Xenopus tropicalis: one gene and its partners. The protein of the gene in region 7 interacts with the protein of the main gene of each other region in a pairwise test. Links are inferred from orthologs where the notes say so. Each region holds a gene or a part of one and is shown on either strand. Other genes may lie near its edges.

Region 1 (4,226 bases), on a different chromosome or scaffold from region 7:
TCAAGACATTTAATATTATGTATGCAAACCCATAATTAAATGCACCATCATGCATTTTATTCTACATTTAGTTTACAATACATAACACAGTACACCATGCCCTAAAATTCTTACTGATGTTGTGGCATTTAGTTTTTTGTCCAGCCTATTTTTTTTCATAAAAAATTATATATTTTTACTTGAAGTAGCCTACCTGTCTATAAAACAGCAGTTAGGTACCTTGTGTGTATTTTTCTGGACCCATTCAAAGTTTACAGTTTTCAGGTCAAAATCCCTACCCATGTGAACAATGACATGCTTAGTCAGCAAAAAGGAGCTGGCGGAGATACACCATGTGACATTAGCCAAAGCCAATAGCTAGGAATATGTGCCAGCGAAGAAATGCCTCAAACTGTCCGTACCTCCTTCCCATTGGTCACAAAGCAGGTGGTTAAAAGTACATAGAAGATGATTATACCTGCTGTGACATTAACTTATGGCAGGGATTCCCAACCTTTTTTTACTGTGAAACACATTAAAATGTAAAAAAAAGTTGGGGAGCAACACAAGCATGAAAAATGTACCTGGGGGTGCCAAATAAGGGCTGTTATTGGATCTTTGGTAGCCCCTATGTGGACTGGCAGACTGCAGAAGGCTCTGTTTGGCGGTTCACATGCAAAAAAAACTTGCCTTCCAAGCCATTGGCTTATGGAGTACAAAATGGCAACACACTTACCCCACAATATTGGTCATCGTTGAAGATTTGAGGTGGAAATGCATTGGGGTTCCCACACATCTGCCTCATTTCTGTTCTGATATTGTTATCCGCAGAGATATCCACTGTCTCATATTTAATGCATTTGCTATCCAGGATACGAGTGATTTCACTTTGTTTAGACTTTATCTAAAAATTAAGCATATATAGATACATTAGTAGTAGTAAAATTATGGCAAGTGTTTACAACATAATTGGGCACAGATGTTCATAATAGGAAGTGAGAAAAAAAAATTCAGTCACAGGAAAAAAACCCAGTTTGTGATTATTTAAGGAAGTTCTTTACAAAGGCCAACAGGCTAAAAAGTATTGTGTGTCTTCTGCATTTTCAGGGATTGCCCCACTTCCTTTTTTATAATTTATTTAGTGCACAGACACTAGGGCTGGCCTGAATGCTGAAGTACATTCTGTAAGCTGGTAGGCGGTCAGTGTATATCCTGCAAAAAAGTAAGGTATCTCTGCTAATATCAACTGCTGCACCAAACACTCTGCCAGTAGGAGATGCCCAATTATTAGCAAATATATTTCACTCACTCTTCAAAAGTGCTATTCTGCATAACATAGTAATGTAGTATTGCTTGCTTGGACTGTTTCCCACAGACTGCACAAAGTTCAAACGCAGCACTGCAGTATGCTGTTTGAGAAAGGAATTATGCAAAGACACCGTGGTATTTAGAAACAAGGCTATGCTAATGCTCATTTTTTATTTTCTTTCAGAGAGGGCAATACATATTTTCATGTGGCATATTCAACAGTAAAAAAAGACACTGAAAAAAAAAAAAAAAAAGATATATTTAGATGCAGTTTAGAATTAGAGCCGAGGGCGTGTATAAACCAAGAACAGCTCAATATGAAAGGTGTGTTCGTATAAAGATTTCACAAGCGCTGGCAAGCAGCAAGAAAACGCCCATGCACTGAGACTATATGGACACATAGAGCACTGTGGAAGGTAAAATAGAAGACGTACACTAGAGGAAATATGTGTTTGTTTTGTATAATACAGGGGTCCTAAACTTTTTTAACCTGTGAGTGACATTCAGATATAAAAAAAAATTTGGAGAGTCACACAGGCATGCAAAATGTTCATGGGGGTGTTCTAGCTAAGAATTAACAAAAAAAAATAAGCACTTGCTTTGAGGCCCCTGGGAGCAACATCCATCGGACTGGTGAGCAGCATGTAGCTCGCGAACCACTGGTTGGGGATCACTGGTATAAAGGATACACATATTGTTGAAAAACTAGTCTATATTATCGAGGTGCTGAGTTAAGCTTATGTTGAAATGAACATGCAGTTATAGAAAATAATACCTTCTACTACCAGTTACTAATGTTGTCAATTTTCAACAGAGGAGTTAAGAGCACTTCCCATAAATAATACGTACATGTCACAATGTAGCAATTAGTGTTTCTAAATCAGTATTTGTGGCTGCTAACAAGAAAGGATGACAATGTGTAAGAGACAGACTAGGGGGACCTCTGATTGGATGGCAATCAGTAGTCTTTCATCATACCCTTTTTTGATCCCTGCAATATAAGACACAAAAGCTGAATTTCCCTGCATTTTATCTATGCAAGTATATCAAAATGATTTGAATGAAAGCGATACAACACAAATGCAGTAGCTGCAGTTTGTTGCTGGCTGTGTCCCAAGATAAGTTTGCATTGTGCATTGCATCAACCAATGTGCCAGACATATATTTAAATGCAAATGCCACAGGGAGTGCTTCACAACTACAGGAAGTTGTAAATAAACGCAATTAAAAATCCTCGGCCATTTCTAAAGCCAACATTTCCCTCGGTGGAATAAGGTACTGATTCTGGCATTTCTAAATAAGGGCGGGGAAGCAAGCCCTCCCAACCAATATAGAGGCAGACGCAGTATTTGTAACGCAAGTTGCACACACAATCCATCGTAGCGCCACTTTTGTCAATGCATGTTATCATGAAATCTCACCTCCCGGGATCCGGTTACCGACGTGTAATACACTTTCACCACCATCCTTAGCTCCAGCCGTGATATTACTCTGCAGCAGTACTTCCGGCCTCTCCCACCATGTGATAGGCAGGGGACCAATCACAAAAACATACTTTGCGCTTATCTACAATTGCCTAAGCCTATCCAGAAACGCTTTTGTGTAGTGTATCTTCCTTATACCTAGCGGCTAATGTTCGTATACGGAACTTATATATTTCCCGTCTGTATGTATATGCTTATATTTTTAGGCGCCATCTGCTTTTGTTTAGTAAACGTTATACCACTATCCCTTATTTACCTATAGGCATACGCTTTAGTTTTGTGGGAAGATGTGTCCAACTTACAACTTCTATTGCAATGAGTTAAACAAGGCTTAGTGGTCTCTACTCTCAAGGACAATTATTGCTTACATTATTGCTTATTAGTTGGGTTGTCTTACTGTGAATCAATGTGAAACAAAATCAAGGTAGATATTTGTAAATAATAACAGAATTAAAAAGTTTATGTAGAAATAAACTGTCTCTCATCATTAGAAAGACAAGTGCTAATAATTTTTTTTGCATTGGCTCATCAATGGCTGAGCCTGGACGTTGCTAGAGTAAATTTCCCCTTGCAACCAGGCAGCCATCTTCATTTTAAACTAGGGAGTTGCTTTAGGGCTTTTACACCTGGATGTTTTTATGTGTTTTATGTGGCATTGGCATTCATGTTTTAAAAATGCATTAAAAAAAAAAAAAATGAAAAACACCCACCACCAATCATAAACGAAGACCATCTGCAAATTGCCTCATGTTACTTTAAAGGTGAATTATCCCTTTACACATGGTAAAGAGGGGCAGGGGTATTTTGGTTTTCAATATTTTCTACCACCTGTGTTGAAACCCTCGCTGGACCACAACTTCCAACATTTTAGCTTGCTATTATGTTAGGGATTCTCGTGGTATAGCAACATCTAGGGTTCCAAGGTTATATCTATAACAGAAGCAGGCCCAGTGATGGTTAAGGGCTATTAATATATAGGGGTCCCATTGAAACACTGACTGCTAAGCAGTTTCAATATATACATACTTATAAGGTATTTTGTCCAAATATGCGGTGTTCTTCTTTGAGCTGTAAGTTAAACATGGAGATGTTGTAAATTTGACACATGAGGTGTTTTTGTAATTGGTTCTGGAATATAGTGTGAGATTTTCATCGTCTACAGGCATCCGTTATAGGAGAATATGATGTGATGTGTGTGTTGGCCTTCCTGCCTCTCCAGTAATGCAACCACCAGAGAATATGATCTACCAGCAGATATTCAGATGGTTGATAGAAGATCTTAGGTTCAGAGCATTGTCCACAACTAACTTCATTAGATTATTGGCCAGGTTGCTTTGGTTACATCTGTTATTACATTTTTAATAAACAAATTGTTTTATTTATATTTTTACAATACCCATATTTAGATGTGGAAGATCTTTATGTTATAGCGTCACTTTAAAATACACACAAATA
Region 2 (3,500 bases), on a different chromosome or scaffold from region 7:
TGGCAGAGGAAAACAGGCACAACAAATCTTTTGACAGAGAACTCAGTGCAGCGTTTCTGTGAGTGCTTATGGCTGTATTTACATAGACCTTTCTGATAAAGCTTAGTTTTTACCTTTCTTTCTTCTTTAAAGGTGACCCACCCCTTTAACATATTATAGAAGGAACAAACAAACCTGCATCCAGAAAAAGAGCCTCTTGGAGCCGGCCTTGAACTTGAGCACATACACGCGCCCCGTGGTGCACTGCGACACTCTCTTGAACTCACAGTCGTCTGGAAAGATGATCAGATCCTGTAAAAGACAAACACAAGGGGAGAGGGTGAGCTAAACGCGGTCAATACGGTTAAGTGAAGTATCGGCTGCACAGAATGGCCTCGGTTTGTATACAATGGCTGCTTTCTAAAGGCCACTGGCTGTGCGCAGCGAGAGCTTTCCCACGGTCTCTGGCTAAAAGCAGTCTCGGCACTTTAATTGCCCAGGTCTGAGAGTGCCTTCACCTGGCTTGAAGCCTTTTGTGTGCAGGACTATTGACTCCGACGGATTGCTGGCCTGGTGCATTATGGGAATGTTGCCTTAGCGCTCTAAAAAGAGGAATGGAGAGAGCTAGCACCGTCCTCACTAACTATACACATTCAAATTATAGCCATCTACACTCCTATCTTGAAGTTGTATGAAATGGAGTGAGAACACGGAGGTAACGTGCAACTGAAGTAAAATTATACAGAAAAAAAGGAGAGAAATACAAGGAGACACCCAAACAGGTGGTCCCTGTCTAGACTTCAGAATTGTTGCACCGGTAACCCCAAAGAAAGAGAAAAGAGGCAATTCACTTGATCAGGTGTTGTAGGACATTAAAACTTGGTAAAAATTAAAAAGGTGAAGTATATCTTAGAATAATCCCCATTAAAAATCGCCTGGGGTGATATTCAATTAAAGTACAAACTATGAGGTATTATAACCTGCCTCATTCAATTCACTAAATTGTTACAGCTTAAAAAATAAACTATTGTATCAAACACTCTCCACTCTTGCACGTTACCATTTCATACAACTTCAAGATAGGAGTGTAGATGGCTATGGTTTGAATGTGTATAGTTAGTGAGGACGGTGCTAGCTCTCTCCATTCCTATATTATCATTTTTTACCAGGGTATGGGCTTGTAGGGGGGGTGCAGCGGGTGTTGATGCGGGACTCTGGGAAGGGTGGGCTGATTTGTTTGCACGACTGATGTGCATTTTATAAGCGGAGGTGCCTCAATGTAAAAAACGGGGTTCGGCTGCAACATTGAGCTACCTGTACTCAATCTATGGTGGGGTGGTGGGCACAGAAAATGGCTGAATTCCAGCCTATAGCTGAAAGAGTTCTGTACTTTAACACAGCTATGACGGGGTCTGAATCCCCTACCCCAGCGTTTTTCAACCGCTGTTCCGCGGCACACTAGTGTTGCCTGGTGTGCCGTAGGCAGGGCCGCAATTTTTACTTTCAAAGGGGGCCCGGCGATGCTACAGTTTTTCTTAGTAGCTCGGGCCCCCTTTAATAAAATCCGGGCCCTGTCATTGGTTGCGCCCCGTGTGTACGGGTGACGTCAGTACGCACGGGGCGCACCGTTATAAAAGGGCCTGTGTGCGGTCGCGTGTAGGCAGAAGTGCAGAGTTGGCGCGCGTGAGGGGAAGATGCTGCTGAAGCCGCCGAAGAGCAGAAGTAAAATGCTGCTGGGCACCAATGTATTAGGGGGGGCCACGGGGCACACTGACTTATGGGGGCACTGCTGCTGGGCACCAATGTACTAGGGGGGCTGGCTCTTGGCACCAATGTACTGGGGGGCACTGCTGCTGGGCACCAATGTACTAGGGGGGCACTGCTCTTGGCACCAATGTACTAGGGGGCACTGCTGCTGGGCACCAATGTAGTAGGGGGGCACTGCTCTTGGCACCAATGTACTAGGGGGGCACTGCTGCTGGGCACCAATGTATTAGGGGGGCACTGCTCTTGGCACCAATGTACTAGGGGGGCACTGCTGCTGGGCACCAATGTACTAGGGGGGCACTGCTCTTGGCACCAATGTACTAGGGGGGCACTGCTGCTGGGCACCAGTGTATTAGGGGGGCACTGCTCTTGGCACCAATGTACTAGGGGGGCACTGCTGCTGGGCACCAATGTACTAGGGGGGCACTGCTGCTGGGCACCAATGTACTAGGGGGGCACTGCTCTTGGCACCAATGTACTAGGGGGGCACTGCTGCTGGGCACCAGTGTACTAGGGGGCACTGCTGCTGGGCACCAGTGTACTAGGGGGGCACTGCTGCTGGGCACCAATGTACTAGGGGGGCACTGCTGCTGGGCACCAATGTACTAGGGGGGCATTGCTCTTGGCACCAATGTACTAGGGGGGCACTGCTGCTGGGCACCAGTGTACTAGGGGGGCACTGCTGCTGGGCACAGAGTTAAATTTTTTAATATTTTCTAATGGTGGTGTGCCTCGTGATTTTTTTCATGAAACAAGTGTGCCTTTGCCCAAAAAAGGTTGAAAAACACTGCCCTACCCTGTCCCAGCAGTTAATATAGCTCATAAGGAAACTGGACTCGACTTCTCCTTGTTTGGCAACAATTTTGCAACAATTGTTGCCGGCGTTTTTTTTTTGCAATCTCTCCTTGGCTGCCTCTATAGGGCTGTGGGTTTGTGGAGAGTGTTTGATACAATAGTTATTTTTTAAGCTGTAACAATTTAGTGAATTGAATGAGGCAGGTTAACTCTGAGCAGCCTTATAATACCTCATAGTTTGTACTTTAAAAGGAGACATATTGGATAAATGGGGAAAAAAAAAGGTAATTTTGTAGGCAATTATGAATAATATCCGGTGCTGGTTTCCCTTTGGGCTAAACATTAACCCTATCTGTAACAATGGCCCCTTTATTGGAGCTCCCTATAGATCCTCTCACTTCTCTGTCCGAGTTTGAAATGAAGAGTGGGCGTGGCCTAACGGTCCCTGCCAGAAGCACAGTAGGAGGGGGAGAGCCAATCACAGCCCTGCAGTCACACAAGCAAAGACAGGCTTCAGTTCCCTATCAGGTCAGCCTAGCTGCTGATTTGTTCCTATCCTACAGTGCAGGGTACTGAGTGCCGCCGGCTCCCCAGCTCATCCAGAGAATTCAGCCAGCAGGAAGTGGAACAGATGGGCGGGGCTAGTGGGGTTTTGGGGGAATTTCTCAATAAATCAGTCAGAAACACAACCCTTCTATATCTAGAGGAGTATAATTCCCTGGTACATTCATCATTTTTATAGGATATGTCTCCTTTAATTGAATATTATTCTAAGATATACTTCACCTTTTTAATTTTTACCAATAAAGGTTAAGTTTTAATGTCCTACAACACCTGATCAAGTGAATTACCTCTTTTCTCTTTCTTTGGGGTTAACGGTGCAACAATTCTGAAGTCTAGACAGGGACCACCTGTTTGGGTGTCTCCTTGTATTTCTCTCTTTTCTTTCGCTCTAAAAA
Region 3 (3,500 bases), on a different chromosome or scaffold from region 7:
AATAACAAATATGTGGATAATCAATCAAAGATTTAATCCCCTTTAGTTTAATTTGCACAGGAGATGATGCGGATCTCCAGGTTTCAGACATGATTTCAGACATTACAATTATCCCCTGTGGTACAATGATAGAGAGCTTACATATATTGTAGGAAGTATCAGCTGAGTGTCACAGGAGTATGGTTATTGTAGATCGCTCTTTAACCCCTGCGCTGTGGGACAATGTGCAGAATGTTTAAACAATAGCCCCTTTTTCAGATTCAGATACTGTATTATCATTTGATTTTATATTCTGTAAATCCACATACTTCTGCTACTTACAGGCAGCATATCAGAGCCTGCTGTTCCAGCATGCTGTTCGCCGTAAATAATCCTAGTGAAGAATTCACAAGTTGAATTGTGATCTGCACATGTAAACAGTTTCAATTCTTCCATGTCTGCCACAGATTGCCCTGTAGGACACTGGGGAGCTGGCTGCCAAGAGATCTGTCCCATGTGTGAAAACAACGGCACTTGTAACCCAGCGACTGGAGAATGTACATGCACGCCGGGGTACACTGGCAGCCTCTGCAAAGAAAGTAAGTACTACATGGTTATCACAGTGGCACGTGTCCAGATATCCAGTAAATTTGTCTCTGGTTTGTTTCAGGGATTATTATTGTTATTATTATAAACATAATAGGAGCCCTGTGGGTAGTAAAAGTACCTTTACAAAACCTTTATGGAAAGAAAACAAACAGAAAATAAAATACTGTATATATTAAATATATATATATTTGTGAAACCCTGATGATTGTGCTTATCCATAAAGATACAAAAGCCTTGTTTGTAGGCACCCAGTTGGTTTGCCAGCAGGGGTATCTGGTTATGAAAGTATATATATATATTGTGTTATGGATTGTTAATAGATAATAAATAAAGCATAAGTAATTCAGTGTTCAGTAAGTGTTTTTGCTTTCCTTTAGTTTGTCCTGCTGGTTGGCATGGCCAGGGGTGCCAGATGAGATGTGCCTGTCAGAACAATGGCCAATGTGACCCAGTCTCAGGAAGATGCACATGTCCGCCTGGCTGGACAGGCCATAACTGCAGAAGAGGTAAAATTGCCACCAATATTGGTCTATATGATCTCCAAAGCACCATACAGCACAGGGAGTGGCAGGCTCTAAGGTGTGATAGAAAAATTGTATTATAAATTTGAGCTGTAAATAATATAGAAATGCCCTGGTCTACAGGAAACCTTGGCTCTCTGAGAAGCAAATGCGCATTCATTGACCCTTTTTTTAAAAAGCTGAGCCAAGTAGTTGGCTTCCAAGGCTAGCCTGCCCACATGTCACTGCCATAATAGTTGCACCACCCCAAAGTGAGTACTATGCACATGCTTCTATTGCTTACCCCTAGTTCCAGCCCCGCTTTCTTGTATTGGTTCTTTTTTTGTCTCACAAATATACCTTTTGCTTCCTTCTGGTTTAAAATTCATTGTGTGGGCCACTCTTTCAAGAAGCTGTGACCTTTTTCACACTCCAGAGAATTTACCTGCTGTTAGTTTAACAAAACCATTAGATTAGGAAATTTTTCAAATTTTGAGGTTAAAGGAGAGATGATTTATGAAATTAAATGCCATTTTGTTTTAACTAAGGCTGAGAAGCACTCAATATAGATTTCATTGTCTTTTTTCCCCCCAATCCAGCATGTGATTCAGGGCACTGGGGAACAGATTGCCTCAACCCCTGTAACTGTAGCAACAGTGATGGAAGCTGTGATTCAGTGACTGGACAGTGTGTCTGTGAATCAGGATACATAGGGCTGAATTGTGATCAAAGTAAGTTAGCCATCCGCTTGTGAGATAACACTGTGTATTTCATGCTGTTGTATTCTTACAAATAGAAAGCAATTAAAAGTGAAAGCTTAAAATAGACTTAGAGACCTAGGGGGTCATTTATCAATGCTGAGAAAATTTGCCTGTGGGCAATAACCCCTGGCATCCAGTCAAATTGTTGTTCTGCCTGCAGCTGGCTGAAAAAATACATTCACTGATTGGTTGCTATGGGTTACTGCCACGGTCAAATTTGACAGGTGTTAATAAATGAGCCCCTAGGATAAGAGAGTTATGTAGTAATATGGTAAAAATATAGACCTATGCATTAACCCATAGTTGCCAATCACACTTTGGTGGCAATTATTCTAACTGCATAGACCTATCAGCCTGTTTACTACTGGTTATTACTAGACAGTTGCATATTATATCTGTCACTTTACATGTAGCTATGTAACTGAGCAGCTAATCAGAGGGATAACATGGAAAGTTACCTATCATTGGAAGAACTTAAAAAGATGTAGGAAATGTATTTAACCATACCAGCAGGTTGCAACAGGATTGGGGGGGGGGTGTAAGGCAGTGCAAAAAATTAAAAACAATATCAGGGTGTCCAAAGATCTGCAAACAAAAGGTTCTTACTATTACAAAGTTTTATTAATGGAATAGTCTGCAGTAAGCCATTGTGAAAAATGACTCCCCTAGCTTCTTATCATCTTGGAATAGTTATCTGTTGAGTTCATAAGGTATTATCTTTTCTCATTAGTGCATATTAACCAGTTTAGTCTGACCATATATATGCTATCTTCGCCATAGAATGTGCCGAGGGCTGGTATGGCTCAGACTGCAGGCACCCATGTCAGTGTGATAATGGTGCGGTTTGCGACCATGTGAGCGGGGCTTGCACGTGCGCAGCAGGATGGAGAGGAACATTCTGCGAGCTACGTAAGTATTGATTCACATGCAGCTAAGAATATTAATATCCTTTCAAAATTTTCATTTATGATATGCAGTACATATGTTTTCAACATTAGAGAAAGGAATGAAAACACTGAGGAAGTTATTTTAAGTATTTAAAAATACTTCCTCTACTAATACAGGAAGATGGGCTTAGAGTGGTACAGGAAGGAATGTTGGAAGAGAATATGGGAGACACATTATATTATATTTATGAAATTTGGTTAAAAAAGAGCAGCCTTTTGAGTGGTATATTAGGGTATATGAATTGCTCGTTGACATTCCATAAAATATCTCAATCACAGTTGTAACCAATGGAATGGCAAATCCCTCAGTAGAATGTTTATGCTGTGGAAACGAGACCCTGTGTCTCAGCTATTGCCTTGGGCTATAAGAAAGACATGGTGTGCGTTAGTCACATAGAGGAAATAATCATTAAATGCTCAGAAATTCTCTTGGCTGCCTTCCATAAAGCCAAAGGCCATGTTATGTGAAACGGAACATGTACAGATAAAAGTAATGCTCAGTACAAGTAAAAGTAAGCAAATCATTCGCTTTATGTTGAAATGTTTGACAGAGCCTGTTTTCCAGTGGGGAATACTGAGAAAATGAATGAGTGTGGCAAGTCAGATAGACTGCATTTCAGTGGAAGTGCTGCACCTGTTAATGCACTTTCATTGCATTTATAGAATTTGCATGATATTTCTCCTTCCACCTCTTTTGTTAAACT
Region 4 (4,159 bases), on a different chromosome or scaffold from region 7:
TTAATTACTTCTTTTTACGTACTATTACCCACTACCTTTCCCCCAATTTCTTCTCATATAGATTTGTGCAATAGCCATAGGATAGGTATACAAAGCAGATGGTTGGGTGAGCAAGAGGGACCCATTCACTTCTGGGCCCACCGGGAGTTTTCCTGGTATACTGGTGGGCCAGTCCGACGCTGACTGTAAATCCCAGTGCAGTTATACCTACCTACTGTATTTATACATCATACAACATAAAAACAAAATTAAGCCGCTTTCCCATATACAAACCAAAGCAGTATTTGAAACAATGCAGCCCATGTACCCACTGGCCTTCCCTGCAGGAGTGCTACATCCGCTCCAGAGTCAGAACCAGGGGTGCAGAAACCACCACACACTGCTTTCAATGGCAAATAACTTTTAAAACTATTAGCCATTTTGTTAATGAAAGTATTGCTTAGAATGGCAGTGGCTTTCAATGAGGCAGACTGATGTTTGGCTTTATATCCCCTTTAAAATAAAGAATTGCCCCCCCCCCCCCCCCCTGCCCCCTGTGGAAATGCGGAGGGATCAGTGTTGCATGTATGTGTGTGATCTGTTACAGATATTGTGTATTGTGTGAGATCCCTGCCTTTCTCTCTCTCTCTCACAGACACACACAGACACACTCACACACAGACACACACTCACACTCTGACGTCTTTTGTGCATTTCCTGCATTACAAGGAGAGGGGAGGAGAGCTGGGGTGTTGCTAATCAGCGGTGGAGGCAGCAGTGGCAGCGGCGGTACAAGGCATCCAAGCGGGGAGCTACCCAGAGCCGTCTCCCTGCAGCCGAAGCCCAGCCCGGAGCAGCGGAGAGGTCCCCGGGGCATGTGGGTGAGGAGGATCCCGATTGGGCTGCGGCTGTGAGAGCGAACTGCCCGGCTGGGGCTGCTTGTGGGGGAGAAGGTTGTACTAAGACTCCCAGGGAGGCAGGGGGGGGGGTGCGGCTGCTCACAGGCAGCATTTTGGCAGGAAAGCCCGGATTGCACCAACACCTCCGAGCCCCCCTCCCCATGGATGAGCCGATACGGTAGGTAGGAGAGCAGCCGGCCGGGATTAGTGCTGGATTTGCACCCCCCCTTGTTTTCCCGTTAGCGAAGCCCATGTATCCAGCGGCTGCCGCAGCGCTGCGAGTGGAATAAGGGGGCAGCGGATCGTTCTATTCCCGCACCCCCCCCCCCCCCAGCGGGCTGCCCATAGGGACATGCAGAGGTGTAACTTGGATTGACTGCGCCCACGTCTTGCCCAGTCTGTGGCCATTGAACCTTAGGGCCACATAGGCGCAAGCCCTAGCGCTAATGCCCCTTTTCATTTACTCCTCTCCATCTTAATGCATAGGAAGCCACTAGCTGTGGCCCTTACACTTGTCTGCCAGTCTGTGCCCTAATTGCCCTAGTTACACCTCTGCTGGGAGGCAACCCCATCCCCAGACACCTTGGCCCACCATGGTTGTATTTAATGGTTTGCTGAAAATTCGGATTTGTGAGGCGACCAACCTGAAGCCCACCGCCTGGTCCCTGAGACATGCCGTGGGCCCCCGACCCCAGACCTTTCTGCTGGACCCCTACATTGCTGTCAATGTGGACGACTCCAGGATAGGACAGACCTCCACCAAGCAAAAGTCCAACAACCCCACCTGGCACGATGACTTCTCTACGGACGTCTCCAACGGCAAGAAGATCGAGCTGGCGGTCTTCCATGATTCCCCCATAGGGTACGACGATTTTGTAGCCAACTGCACCATCCAGTTTGAGGATCTACTGCAAAATGGGAGCCGACACTTCGAGGACTGGGTAAGTGATGGCTTTCACCCATCCATCCATAATCTCATTTGCTGCACTCTATAGACCTGCTCTATAGCTGTTCCAGAGCATGTAGTATTTCTATACAGTTTAAGGGTGAAGGCACACAGGGCTGCTTAGTAGCAGCTACTTGTCACGGCTACTAAACTCCAGAAAATACCCTGCCATAGACAATACTGAGAATTGCCTCTGCTAAAACCCTTGTAGAGACAGTTATCAGTAAATGATTAATATTGTCTATTTTAGTAGCTGTGACAAGTAGCTCCGTGCATCTTTAACCTAAAGAGTTTTGGGGTTCAGCTTAAAAAAGCAACTGGAGGGCCGTAGCTCAGACACCACAGGTACAGAACTTTATTAGGGGTGCTGAGTTATAGGGCATATGTGTATTATAGGGCTAGGGTAGCATTAAGGCTACTTTGTGACAGTGGTTAACAAAAAAAAAAAGGGAAAATGGAATCCCTTCCCTGCAAATCCGGCAATTGCCCCCTACTCTGCCTATTGTTGTACTACCGGAGCGTGGAGGAAATCCTCTAATAAGGAATGACAGGGCTTTTCCTTCGGCACACTCTGCTTGTGGGCCGGTGGCAGAGGGCACTAAATCCCCGTGCCTTGCATGCAGCACTTGTCTTTGTACCCAGGAGGTGCCAGTGTTTGCTTGGGCATCTAGCAAAGGGCCATTTGGCAGAAACTCTCTACTGAAATATAAATGGCTGTTTGAGTTAGTGCTGGGCGCCCTGGCAGTGGCTTTGCTGGCCTAGTGGGCAGGGGGGCACATTGAGTACCAATCAATGAACATTGAAATCACAGCAGTGTAAAAAGCATCTGGTAATCACAACCTATAGCCTACACTACAGTATATGTGACTGTGGCACGTAGATTATTTAGGGGGAACAACAGCACATGTAGCAGGGCAAGAAATACCCTCTGGGAAGGAGCCACAAGTCATCAGTACCTGTAGCATTGTAGTGAATATACCCTGGGAAAGGACCACAAGTCATTAGTACCTGTAGCATTGTAGTGAATATACCCTTGGAAAGGACCACAAGTCATTAGTACCTGTAGCATTGTAGTGAATATACCCTGGGAAAGGGCCACAAGTCATTAGTACCTGTAGCATTGTAGTGAATATGTTTCAGATGTTTCAGGTTACCATGTTGGTTAACCACGGAGCTTGCACCCAACATACGTTATGGCAGTGCAACTGCTCTGTGGGTGTCAGAAGCAACACTGTGCGTCATTTCAGTCAAGTACAAACCAAACTGTCATGGGGCATCTGAATATACCCTGGGAAAGGGCCACAAGTCATCAGTACCTGTAGCATTGTAGTGAATATACCCTGGGAAAGGGCCACAAGTCATTAGTACCTGTAGCATTGTAGTGAATATACCCTGGGAAAGGGCCACAAGTCATTAGTACCTGTAGCATTGTAGTGAATATACCCTGGGAAAGGGCCACAAGTCATCAGTACCTGTAGCATTGTAGTGAATATACCCTGGGAAAGGGCCACAAGTCATTAGTACCTGTAGCATTGTAGTGAATATACCCTGGGAAAGGGCCACAAGTCATTAGTACCTGTAGCATTGTAGTGAATATACCCTGGGAAAGGGCCACAAGTCATCAGTACCTGTAGCATTGTAGTGAATATACCCTGGGAAAGGGCCACAAGTCATTAGTACCTGTAGCATTGTAGTGAATATACCCTGGGAAAGGGCCACAAGTCATTAGTACCTGTAGCATTGTAGTGAATATACCCTGGGAAAGGGCCACAAGTCATTAGTACCTGTAGCATTGTAGTGAATATACCCTGGGAAAGGGCCACAAGTCATCAGTACCTGTAGCATTGTAGTGAATATACCCTGGTAAAGGGCCACAAGTCATTAGTACCTGTAGCATTGTAGTGAAAATACCCTGGGAAAGGGCCACAAGTCATTAGTACCTGTAGCATTGTAGTGAAAATACCCTGGGAAAGGGCCACAAGTTAGCAGCACCCAAACTAATGCTGTCAATATCCCATGGGAAAGGGCCCCAAATCAGCTGCACCTCACAATACATACCATCAATACCCTCTGGGAAGGGGCAAGCAATCAGCAGCACTTTGCAGCATTGCAGTAAATATACTCTGTGAAGGGGCCACAGATTAGGAGCAGCCACAGTTAAAGCAGAGAATGCCTGCCTTCTGATTAGGGATGCTGAATGAGGGAGTACAAAGTGGGTCGGATTGGGCTCAGAACACTTTATATAGGGGTTGTCCATCGTTTCATCAGGGAGTTGTAGGTTAGAACTGACTGTAAGATGTGGGGCAGCTCAGGTCTGGCTGTGGGCTCTGCTGCC
Region 5 (4,032 bases), on a different chromosome or scaffold from region 7:
TAAAAGGTGACCCACAAGTGGGCGACCCCTGGAATGGGAGAGTCCTATAATTACCGCCTGCTTTTTACACCTTGTGGCAGATATTTAATCTGAGCAAGGTTCAAAGCATTGTTTGAATGCTACAGAAGGTTTTCTCCCCTTAGTCAGGCAAAATAAATTGTACTATGACTATTTAAATTTTATAAACCTCGTTTCCTTCAGTCTTGGAATTCACAATTACAGCAAAGCAGGCAGGTGTCATTTTGTGGGCACTGTTATTAAGACAAGCTTTGCATCATCCCAAAATGTTTTTTATACACCAAAATGGGGGAACTGATCCCCATGAACATACAGACGATACACAATTATAGACCATGAGTAGAGTGGGGGAATGTGAGGAGTGCAGTTATATCTAGAATGGAAAGTGAAAGTAACTGCCTGCCTCAATGCCTGGGGTATAGAGGTGGGGCAGGCAATATATGGTTGACAACTTAGATTTTCAAATAACTTTATAACAGGTATTTGATGTTTTAATTTAAAAAAAAAAAAAAAATGGGTTTAGTGTTTAATTTGGAATGTCTGGGTGACAGGTCCCCTTTAATGCTCCAGCACTTGCACCCATAACAGCTGTAACAGAGTACCAAAAGCAGTGTCTCTCACGCACCATAATGTAGTTCTGGTTCAGTCCGCCTCTCTAAGAAAAGAAACAAGAAAGGTCAGCATTGTAATCAGGAGAGAGGATGAGTAATGGCTGTGATCCTGTATAAGTTCTAACACAGTGATGGGGACCTGGGGTCTTTGCCTTGCTTAAAGCACCTCTGTTTCAGTGGTAAGGCAAGTTGAAAATTTATAACTTTTCTTTTTGAGTGGAGAGCCCAATAGCAAATTCTCCCCCTCCTGCCCTTCTTGGTGTGCTGGAGGCCAGCTTGATGGTTGGGTGGGAGATAGCAACACTGAAGCTGTATGTTCGGGCTTTTATAGCTAAATATTAACCACCTTGAAGTAAATAGATTTTATTAGAAGTGACCTGGTTAGTGGTGGATAATTTATTAGTGTAGCTGTACTTTCTGCTGCTTTTCCCAAAAGAACTGGAGGATAGGGGCGATATAATGTTTGTGACAGGGCGTGGCAGTCACCAGGATATGTGACTAAGGCAAGGAGCAGTAGCCTATGTGTGTGTGAAAAGGAGCAGGGGACCGGATGCTCACACACATCAAGTGTAAAGTGTTCAGCCTGTCAGGAAGCTACAACATTTATCAACACCAATCAATGTGAAGGCTGCAGCCTGTGCAGTCTTCCTGTGCTCATTCACTTGCACCCTGGCTGCCTGCAAGATGGATGTCCAGGGCCGTTTAACTTTAGATATATCGGACAGGGATCCTCAGGATGATTTTGAGCTAATCCAGAGACTTGGCAGTGGAAGCTACGGTGAAGTTTTTAAGGTAAAGGGGAATGTAAAATGTTACTAGGGTTTCTAGAAGAATTTGGGATGCTACTAGCCTGTATAAGAAAAGTGAATTTGTTTGAATAGTACATATGGTAATGCTGTATTTATCAAAACTTTAGGGATAATGGCTTTCTGGATAATTAACCTCAAACTATTTACATTGAACCATTTGCTATGTACATTTGGATAGGCCTCAGAAATTTGGATATGTAATGTATTGCTGCTTCATCATTTTAATCTGTCTTATTCTTCTATGGGTAATTGCATGCTGTATTACTTGCATGTTGAAAAAACATTAAAACTAAAATAAAATAATGAAAAAATATTTTGTTATGGTGGGTATACCGCATACCAGGGAGAATGCAGCTTAATCCTTCACCAATCCTTCCCTAAACTGCACCCAAAATGCTTGAAAGTCTGCGCCTCATGCTCACACAGGTCATGTCTAACTCTAGTTTCACCTCCAGCAGTGTTGCAGTTCTAGCTCTGTACTTGCCTTGCACTTGCTTTCTTGGTGAGTGGAACATATGACACTAGGTACCCTTTTGATGTATAGGGATATATTCTTAATTCAAATTGATATTGCTGTCTCGTAGTGCATATGCTATCACTGACTCCCTCTTTGGGAGTGCAGAAGTTCAAATGGAAAGTGGTTCTAGGACACTGAGGTAAGTAAGAGGCACAGATAGCTTCTCTGTGCTCTGTATAATACTATGTATCATAGTTTTAAATGTAGTATTGACAGTATCTCTTATTTAAAACCAGTTTGGCCTTTCTTTAAATAATGTCATTTTCACATGGGGGATAGTAGGTTAAGTGGTAAATTGGTTTACTGGAAATTGTTTCACATCTTATAATGTTTGCAAACATAAAGAGGGCTGTTTAATTGCTGACCCAGCAACACCATCATCTGTGTATCTTGGAGTCAGCTAAACAATGCCAGGCTTCATCTCGTACCTCCATTCTAACAGTGAAACCCTGTGCCTTTTTTGTGCCTCTCCCCCACCAACCCTGTCCATGCTGTGCATGCAGTTTTCTCAGAGCTTGCTTCCTGTGGTTCTCATCTAACAGGTGCACACACACAGAGCATCCTCTGGGCTTCCTGTAACTGTGCGCTCTGCTGCGCATACAGCTCTTCTCTTCCTTTGCAGGGCTTCAAATAATTAATGCTAATATGCTAATACCCTGCCTGCAAATAACCACCATTCATCACAGAAAGGACTGGTGGTACATAATGGAGTCTCAAAATGTGCGGTACAGTGACTAGATGGCTTATAACTTGGATAACACTAGATGCCATCCAGTCTGTATTTTAGCCTTGTGCTGAATATATCAAATGCCTTTTGCTTCAGTTACGAAAAATGTTATGTTTTTTATTATTTCCTGAGCTATACAGGACAAACAGGGAAATAATAGTTACTCCATGTTTGGTCTTTGTAAGGTAGATAATTATTTTATCAGTATTGCATCCCCTACCGGCTCCCTTTGTTGTGATGGTTTTTTTGTTTGTCCATTATGTAGAAGGATTATCTACTTCACAAGGACCAAACATGGGTCAGCTTCAGTTTCCTTGTTTAGCTTATGAAGTTACAAAAAACATTTTTTTTTTATGATTAAAACAGAATGCAAAAAGTGTGTTCAGGACAAGCCCTATTCCTTCAACTCATATTGAAAAATGGGGCATACTTTACAGGTACTTTACAGGTACTTTATCCTGTAATTTGTTCTGCATCACATTTATTTTGATGAATCATTTTTGGATGGCTGGTGCAGATTTATTATCTTAATTGTAAAAGATAGCTTTAAGATATTAGACTTAAAGGAGAAGGAAAGGTAAAAACTAAGCTTTATCAGAAAGGTCTATGTAAATACAGTCATAAGCACTTACAGTAATACTGCACTCTATCAAAAGAAACACAGGATTTTCTTTTTTATAAACATGATGTTCTAGTGTTTGACTTCCTCTCTCAGAAAGATCCTTAATTCCCGTGGCAAGAGTCTGCACAGTTCTCTCCTCGCTCCCCTCTCTTGCTCCCCCTTCCACTAGAATGCTAAGAACTCCCTCCCCCCTCCATTAGGAATGTGTGATCTGAGCTAGAGATGCAGGAAAGAAGCTACTTAAAATGGCAGCTGCTATCTTAAGCAAACGAAGAAAGCTTCTAAAGCTGTTTACTCAGGTTTAGTAATGGATTTTGCAGAATAAATATAGTGTTCTAGGTGGCACTAATGTGGCAAATCTATTGGCAGTAAAATGCCAAAATGACTTTCCTTCTCCTTTAATGCACAATAACAGGGAAAGTTGCAAAGTGCGAAAAAACAGATGCAAACTTTTTTGCACTTTTCACCATGTTTTCCTGGGATTTGTGCCTTATAAGCAAAGAGAACACAAAAATATGTGTCTACTGTGTCCAGTTCTGCATAGTGCATACTGTATAGGCAACAAATAGGTGGGATGTGGTTGTAATGTGCAAGGCAGATATGCCAGGGGTTGCCTGTGCCAGGTGCAGTCATTATGCATCTCTAAATTTGCTTGTGAAGTGTTATTTGAGAGGATTCAAATATTATGTATATAAAACAAATTGTTGTTACATAGCTTATTGCATTGT
Region 6 (3,196 bases), on a different chromosome or scaffold from region 7:
AACCCCCTCAATTATTTCTATATTTGCATTTTAATAACTTCCCAGTTAAGCATACAGTTTAATAGTTACGTTTTTATTTTTATATCATTCTGCTGGGCTTATGTAACAAAATTTTTTATAAACTCTATATAAACTGGCAAAAAAAATACATGTTTACAATTTCATGTATAAATACATTTATGTCACTGAAATTGTATTTACACAGGCAAACCCAAATCCACAGGTTGAAAAGAAACCAGGATACTCTTAAGGACCATTTTGTAACACCCCCTTAGGTCTACAGTAGATTGCAACCCCACCCTTACTTTGTTCCATTGTGAAATGATTTATTCTGGGATGTGAATTCCCTTTCCACAAAATATGTGCTCCACCTGCTACGGAAAGCAGAGGGACTTCAAGTCTCAGAATCAATCACCTCACAATGGAACAAGGTAAAGGAGGAGCTGCATTACACTGTGAGTCTAAGGGGCAGGAAATGGTTCTTAAAAGTATAATGGTTTCCTTTTAGTCTGTGGAATCAAATATGTCTGTGTAAAAATGTACACTCGTATATTTTTGGTTGACTTTCAAATAGTATTTATGCACCTTTTCTACATAAGCCAAACTGAATTAACTTATGTTAATAAGTAATATGTAATAAAAAGAGGGGCACATTTTACCTTTAAGTGATGCTTTTAGGACTGGTGTTAAAGAATATACCCTATTTGGGAAGTTCTTAAAGTTATTCCCATTCTACAGTTAAATTACCACTGTTTGTACATGGCCTGATTTTCTTATACTGGGAAGCTGCACATAATGGTAGGGAGTAACAAAAAGTACATAGGTGGGAATATGCCCACACAGTCAAGAAAAAGACACAGCGCTATAAAGGTTACAGTAGCTCAATAGAGAGTGGTATGACAACATGCTGTACTACAAAGACATTATACTCCCACATTATATTCCTATTTTCTTAAATCTAGTTTTCCAAGCCACAATTTGCTAGCTACATTTCCACATCCTTGGCATATTACTGAAATAGCTGTTCTTCTAAACCACCTGTGTGCAACAGATACTGTAAGGGGTTGGATGCCATAGCTTGAGATCCAGCTGAGCAACATTGCCATTATTATGTGACTGGAAACAGGATCTGCACTAGTTGCAGCGGAGAATTTGATGCATTTCTATTTTCACCCAGCAAAAAGGAATTTGGGCAAGCACTTTTACAAAAAGCAAAGAGTTAAAATGCTTCTCATGCTTAAGATAAAATCACTTTTGGAAGGGAGGTGAAATTCTGATTTGCTGGAATAGCTATTACCTTACTAGCCTAAGAAAGTCAGACAAGGATGATACTTACCAAGGCAATGACAGTTGCCCCAGCTCCAGCACAAGCCACAATAAAGAGGTGATAGGACATGTAGAACTAAAGGAATGAATAATCAAACAGAAAGGACAATTAGGTATTATTAAAGAATGGACTGCAACAGGCATAAACTCATGTAGAAGAAAAGGTGCCACCATCTGGTCCCAGCTTAGACAGGACAGATTCTGAAAGCTAAAGTTCTACATGACACATTCACCATGCCCTAACTTGCCCCTAACTAACCCCTTTCCATGCCGTCACTGCCCATTTTTCCTGCAAAACTCAGATGTTAGGGTTCTGCAACATCTGTAGTGACATTGACTGACAAACTAATGTAGCACTACATCACTGACATTGGTAGGGTTTTTTCTGTATGCATTTTTATAGCTCCGCTTATTATGGCTTTACGATCAGTGTAAAATAGTCTTAGAGTTACCCAACCATTCTAGGGGATATCATAGGTTTTAGGTGATCTTATAAACTGTAGGGAAAGCCTACTGGCATGTAGGTTCTTTAAAGGACCAGCATATGTGGACTTAAGCAGAAAATAACTGCTCTTATTCAGCATGTATTCAAAAGTTAGATAGTATTTTTTGCACCAGCTCTATATGGGACAAAATGTTTCCCCACAAAACAGTAATATAAAAAGAAGTTCTCTTTGGTATTTAGAACTACAGCAGCCATTAGATAATGCACGCTAAGGAAAAGTATTTGAAGAAAGAAAAGAGGATGGGAGTGGACAACTATCGTATTTACTTTTCACTGGGGCATATAATCACAATTTCCATGCATAGGAATTTTCTTGAGATAAAAATACCTCATTGCTATTGCAGATTTGTTCCAAAGCTTGCCCACATGCTTTTCCAGGTAAAGCATTCCATGGAATGATACCTACACAGACAAGAGAAAGCAAATCGTTACAAAGCCTCCTTTCTGCACATTCCTTCCTCTACCCTTCCACCCACTTGCCATCTGTGTTCCTTTCCGTGCACCCACACAGAAAGTGATTGCTTTGATGCTTGGAAAGATGACATTTTCAGCAGTGCGCCTAATATGCCAGCCCATGCTTCTAACTCAGACAGCTCTCGGTGTGAAAAGCTGCAGAGACCCAATGGGCCTGCAGAGTCTAAAGAAATCACATTTACTTGCGGTAAAAAAAAAAAAAAAAAAAAACATTTTTATTGTCTATCACAAGAAAGGTCAGGCTAAAAAATCATACTAATGTAAAAATATGCACTGGCCAATGGCTTTTGTAGCTGCTACCAATACAATTCCAGTATCCCCTGCCTCCCTGAGAGCTATGGTTTAACACAGCTATGTTATCCCTAGAATAACAGCTGTGCTTCAAACGTGCTTCATTCTAAAGGAACAGCAGCAAATATTAAGTAATACAATAAATATTATAGTAATACAACTTCCCCATCTTCAGAAAACATAGTGGTCTAGAGATCTCTTCTTCACTGTAAAGTGAAGTGGGCAGCTTCCTGGCCATACAGGACACCTGTTCTACCTGGACTTTCTTATTCACTGGTGCCTCACAGGATGTTTCTCAGTATTTCAGGTCTTGTAGTCCCTCTATTAGAGTATAATTACTGTATCTGCATCACTTCAGGAGTCACTGTATTTATCTCTACTTAGTATTAATACCTCCAGTACTTCAATGAAAGTCCAGTCACCAGGGGAACAAGCACCACATGGTTCCTAAAATGTTTTCCAAATATCAATAACCAGGTGCGTAGAGATAGATCAGATAACAGTAAGAAAAGGCACCAGTAGCCTCACTAAAGCAGGGACTGCAAAAGCAAATGCACTTACTACAGAATGATATAGGTTAGTGCACATTTGGGTGGTATG
Region 7 (3,500 bases):
AGAGAGCTGTACAGGAGGAAGTAGTGATCTGGCTATTATGTTAGACATCTGGCCACTAACTATATTGAAAACATTTTTTATTTTGCGCAGTCTATCTATTTTTTACACTGAATTGTTCCTTTCAACCACAGAAGAACTGAATGACCCACACAAAATACTGTTGTTGGAAGTGATACAGTTTAGCCATAACTGCAATAATAACTAGGAAATAATGTATTATATAGACATTTTAAGAACTGCTGTTTATAAGGCCATTATGATGACAATGGTTAATATCTAATATTCATAGAGAAATATATCAGTATTTCTTTTCTCCTATTTTAAAATGTTCTGTAGGGACCACCTGTTAGAGAAGACAGCTTTGTACAAAGATACAGCACAGATCCAACAGTCATTTTGGAAGACAGCATTGATGATGAGTTCCTGCCTGTGCCAGGTTGGTATTTATTACAGAATAGAGAAAAACATTTCAGCCTTTATGTGTTCACATCAGGGTCATTTTCTGAGTGCTCATAGGGAAACTGAACCTCTGCATCTCTGTATGGCAACAGCCTCATGCTTTTACTTACAACAGTCTAACAAATCTTTAAGGCTGGACTATGTGCTGTCATGATGTGTGGTCAGCCCAGTAGGACATTTATTTTTTAGGTCCTAGAGATCAAAAATATTATTATATTATAATCTTATTATTAAGATTATTACTTATAAATGTCATATTATTAAGGGTATGTTTTGTACAGCAATTTTGGGTATTCCCAAATTAACATTCCTGCTGTAAGTATAATAATGAACAGTGTCAAATTATATATTTTTATTGTTATTTTTGATTATTGTCTTCTTTGGATTGGTGGGGGTTAATACTGACGCAGGCTTTCATACCTGTGGCTACAGGTACAAGAGAATCTTTTTCAAAGGAACAATAAACCAATTCTAATGGAAATAATTTTATATGTTTTCAATCTTTTTCAGAATATGTGAATCAGATGGTTCCAAAACCAATTGTGGAGACACAGACAAATGCAGTATATCAAAATTTGGTTCCACTGGGGAATACTGTGTCTCCTAAAGAGAACCTTTACCAGAATTCTCACAGCAATGGCCTTAATAACCCAGAGTATCTGAACACAGGCCATACCCTTGTACCCAAAACTGACTTTGACTATTCCTCCATCTGGGACCAAAAGGCTAACCTTCAGATTAACCTGGATAACCCTGACTATCAACAGGACTTCTTTCCAAAAGAACCTAAAACCAATGGACATTTTAAAATTCCTGCAGCGCAAAACCCTGAATACTTGGGGTTGGCACCTGTGAGCGATTATATTGAAGCTTCAGCATGACCACAAGGACAGATAACATTACTGTCACCCTCTTGTTTGGGAACTCAGATGGGTTTCTTTGGCCTTTGCAAGTATGTGAATAGCACTAGAACCCACTGACTTATGTACAGTACTTGTATACTTGGGCCAGGACATTGGAGGCACATTATGGATAAATAGTGGAACAGTAACTTGGAAGTGGCAAATGTTTTCTTCAGTGTTGCTTCAGCAAACCTTTTATATAGAAATTATATATAAATATAAATATTTTTTTTTATTCTGTACCAAAAAACATTCAATTTCTTTTTTTTTTTTTTTTTTTTTTTTATAACGTATAGCAATTATAGCACCTTTTTGTGAGTATTGGATCACATTTTGGCAAGATTCATTTTTAATAGCAAAACTGTCAGCACACAGAGGAGCATGTTTTGGTGGCAACACTTGGAAGAACAATTGTGATATCTGAAAATTTCCAATGACATTTCAGACGATAACAGACAGAAACTTGGAAATTTGATCATTGGACATATGAAAATACTAGATATTGTCTGTTATACGCAAAGAAAATAATAAGCTTGGCTTTATCTCTGGTTAATCCACATTCCTTCAGCTGTTGAAGAATTATAAGACCCTCATCAGCCACTGCCATTTGGGGAACCTTGGCCTTGCTTCGTCAAGATGCATGTATGTTTTTCAGATGTCTGTTTGAGTTTGTACAGAGTCATTATAAGTGTCCAGAATCATTAAAATGTCCACTCAGAATCTGTGTTTTGCATAGTGGCAAAATGCATAAGCAGCTTTCTAATATACATTAATGAATAAATATCAGTGGTTTCAAAGTTATTTGCAAATGTAACTGCAATTGAAAGCAGTGTTTGTTTATCTGTTCTCTGTATGTACACTTAGCTCTTCAGATCTGTTAATCACTTGGCTTCAGATATATTTTTTCAGGAGTCAAAACAAGCAGAGAATGTAAACAACAAGACAGATACTGCTTGCAGTAGCAATTGTCTTCACAAATAAATGGCCTTTCTTCTAAGCAGCAGAATATGGTCATGCAGTCTGTCATTGCTTACAATGATTGCACCTGTCAGCAGCAGATTTTGGACGAAAAATGGACAGTTAAGTAAATGGCAGGCTGCACAACCATGATCAAGATGTTCTCCATTGGCCGGAGAATACACCAGTTGTGCCATGGCCTAAATCTACAGAAATTTTTTTAAATCATGATTACTGGAAATTTAAATTATGTTTTGTTTCATTATGCAAAACATCTAGTAACAATTTTGTTTTACAGAACCGTGCCCAGCTTGGCCTAACTGCTAATATGTAATGAAACCAGATTATATCCAACTCTCAGACTATACATAATAAAAGGCAATATTTCTTGTCTGCACTTTAACCATGTTAGTATTTTAAGGCTTTAATAGAAAAATCCCCCAGTATTGATGTGATCATGTTTATTAAATCAAAAAAGTAAACCTGGGCACATCATCACTCATTCCCAGTACAAACATATTGGTTAAACTTAAATAATCTGTTGGTTACATGTCTTAAAATGATGGAAAAGCTGCTATATGGTGTGGTTAGTACTTTACCAACTAGCACAATAGTAAGTTCTAAGGATATATGCATTTAGGAAATACCTTTTAATGCATCACTTATTTTATATGGGATCAAAAACATCAAAACATTTATTAAAGATGTGAGATATTATTTTATGTTGTATATTTTCAGAATTAAACCAAGAATAATGTAGCTCATTGGCTGTATAAGATTGTGATGGGATTTATATAGAGGTTTCATACTGGCAGTATTGGGTATTCATTTGATCTCTTTTTTTGTGTGTGTCCGTGTTCATATAAATGTACACAAAAGGCTGAATGCTGGCAAAGGCATTAATCACCCTCTGTTTAATATGTCCTAATGAGAAGCAGGGACTACTACAGGAATTTATCTTCATGATCATAGCACAATATGTCAGATTATTCACGCAGTGATAAGTACTAGCCTGTGTATATAAGAATAAAACACAGATACCCTAGGTGCACTGGCAAACTGTATGCAAGTTGTGTTAATATCTTTTTGATTTCCCTGTGTGAATTGTGTCATTTCCCACAAGGAATTCATAGGTACACAGTTCTAAATTATTTGATTTATTTAATTAATTTAAACAAAAAG

What was found.
Region 1: the proteins of egfr (region 7) and sh3bgrl3 interact in a protein complementation assay, tested with the Homo sapiens proteins (2 studies listed by IntAct). The link is inferred for Xenopus tropicalis from reciprocal best matches to the Homo sapiens genes EGFR and SH3BGRL3.
Region 2: the proteins of egfr (region 7) and adrm1 interact in a protein complementation assay, tested with the Homo sapiens proteins (2 studies listed by BioGRID and IntAct). The link is inferred for Xenopus tropicalis from reciprocal best matches to the Homo sapiens genes EGFR and ADRM1.
Region 3: the proteins of egfr (region 7) and megf6 interact in a protein complementation assay, tested with the Homo sapiens proteins (2 studies listed by BioGRID and IntAct). The link is inferred for Xenopus tropicalis from reciprocal best matches to the Homo sapiens genes EGFR and MEGF6.
Region 4: the proteins of egfr (region 7) and prkce interact in a protein complementation assay, tested with the Homo sapiens proteins (3 studies listed by BioGRID and IntAct, with this or other methods). The link is inferred for Xenopus tropicalis from reciprocal best matches to the Homo sapiens genes EGFR and PRKCE.
Region 5: the proteins of egfr (region 7) and map4k1 interact in a protein complementation assay, tested with the Homo sapiens proteins (3 studies listed by BioGRID and IntAct, with this or other methods). The link is inferred for Xenopus tropicalis from reciprocal best matches to the Homo sapiens genes EGFR and MAP4K1.
Region 6: the proteins of egfr (region 7) and gpm6b interact in a protein complementation assay, tested with the Homo sapiens proteins (2 studies listed by BioGRID and IntAct). The link is inferred for Xenopus tropicalis from reciprocal best matches to the Homo sapiens genes EGFR and GPM6B.

The regions. Positions count from the first base shown.
Region 1 is NC_030678.2:77,348,180-77,352,405, reverse strand, and holds the start of sh3bgrl3 (SH3 domain-binding glutamic acid-rich-like protein 3), read right to left. Parts: upstream 2,801-4,226; 5' UTR 2,754-2,800; coding exon 2,709-2,753; intron 884-2,708; coding exon 716-883; intron 1-715. UniProt on the Homo sapiens protein: Could act as a modulator of glutaredoxin biological activity. May play a role in cytoskeleton organization.
Region 2 is NC_030686.2:4,561,431-4,564,930, reverse strand, and holds part of adrm1 (proteasomal ubiquitin receptor ADRM1), read right to left. Parts: intron 292-3,500; coding exon 175-291; intron 1-174. UniProt on the Homo sapiens protein: Component of the 26S proteasome, a multiprotein complex involved in the ATP-dependent degradation of ubiquitinated proteins.
Region 3 is NC_030683.2:101,692,163-101,695,662, forward strand, and holds part of megf6 (multiple epidermal growth factor-like domains protein 6), read left to right. Parts: intron 1-446; coding exon 447-578; intron 579-965; coding exon 966-1,094; intron 1,095-1,687; coding exon 1,688-1,819; intron 1,820-2,629; coding exon 2,630-2,758; intron 2,759-3,500.
Region 4 is NC_030681.2:19,558,191-19,562,349, forward strand, and holds the start of prkce (protein kinase C epsilon type), read left to right. Parts: upstream 1-1,359; 5' UTR 1,360-1,471; coding exon 1,472-1,819; intron 1,820-4,159.
Region 5 is NC_030684.2:80,455,411-80,459,442, reverse strand, and holds the start of map4k1 (mitogen-activated protein kinase kinase kinase kinase 1), read left to right. Parts: upstream 1-1,232; 5' UTR 1,233-1,313; coding exon 1,314-1,421; intron 1,422-4,032. UniProt on the Homo sapiens protein: Serine/threonine-protein kinase, which plays a role in the response to environmental stress. Appears to act upstream of the JUN N-terminal pathway.
Region 6 is NC_030678.2:105,717,909-105,721,104, reverse strand, and holds part of gpm6b (neuronal membrane glycoprotein M6-b), read right to left. Parts: intron 2,234-3,196; coding exon 2,160-2,233; intron 1,403-2,159; coding exon 1,337-1,402; intron 1-1,336. UniProt on the Homo sapiens protein: May be involved in neural development. Involved in regulation of osteoblast function and bone formation. Involved in matrix vesicle release by osteoblasts; this function seems to involve maintenance of the actin cytoskeleton.
Region 7 is NC_030682.2:56,891,676-56,895,175, forward strand, and holds the end of egfr (epidermal growth factor receptor), read left to right. Parts: intron 1-336; coding exon 337-436; intron 437-969; coding exon 970-1,340; 3' UTR 1,341-3,382; downstream 3,383-3,500. UniProt on the Homo sapiens protein: Receptor tyrosine kinase binding ligands of the EGF family and activating several signaling cascades to convert extracellular cues into appropriate cellular responses.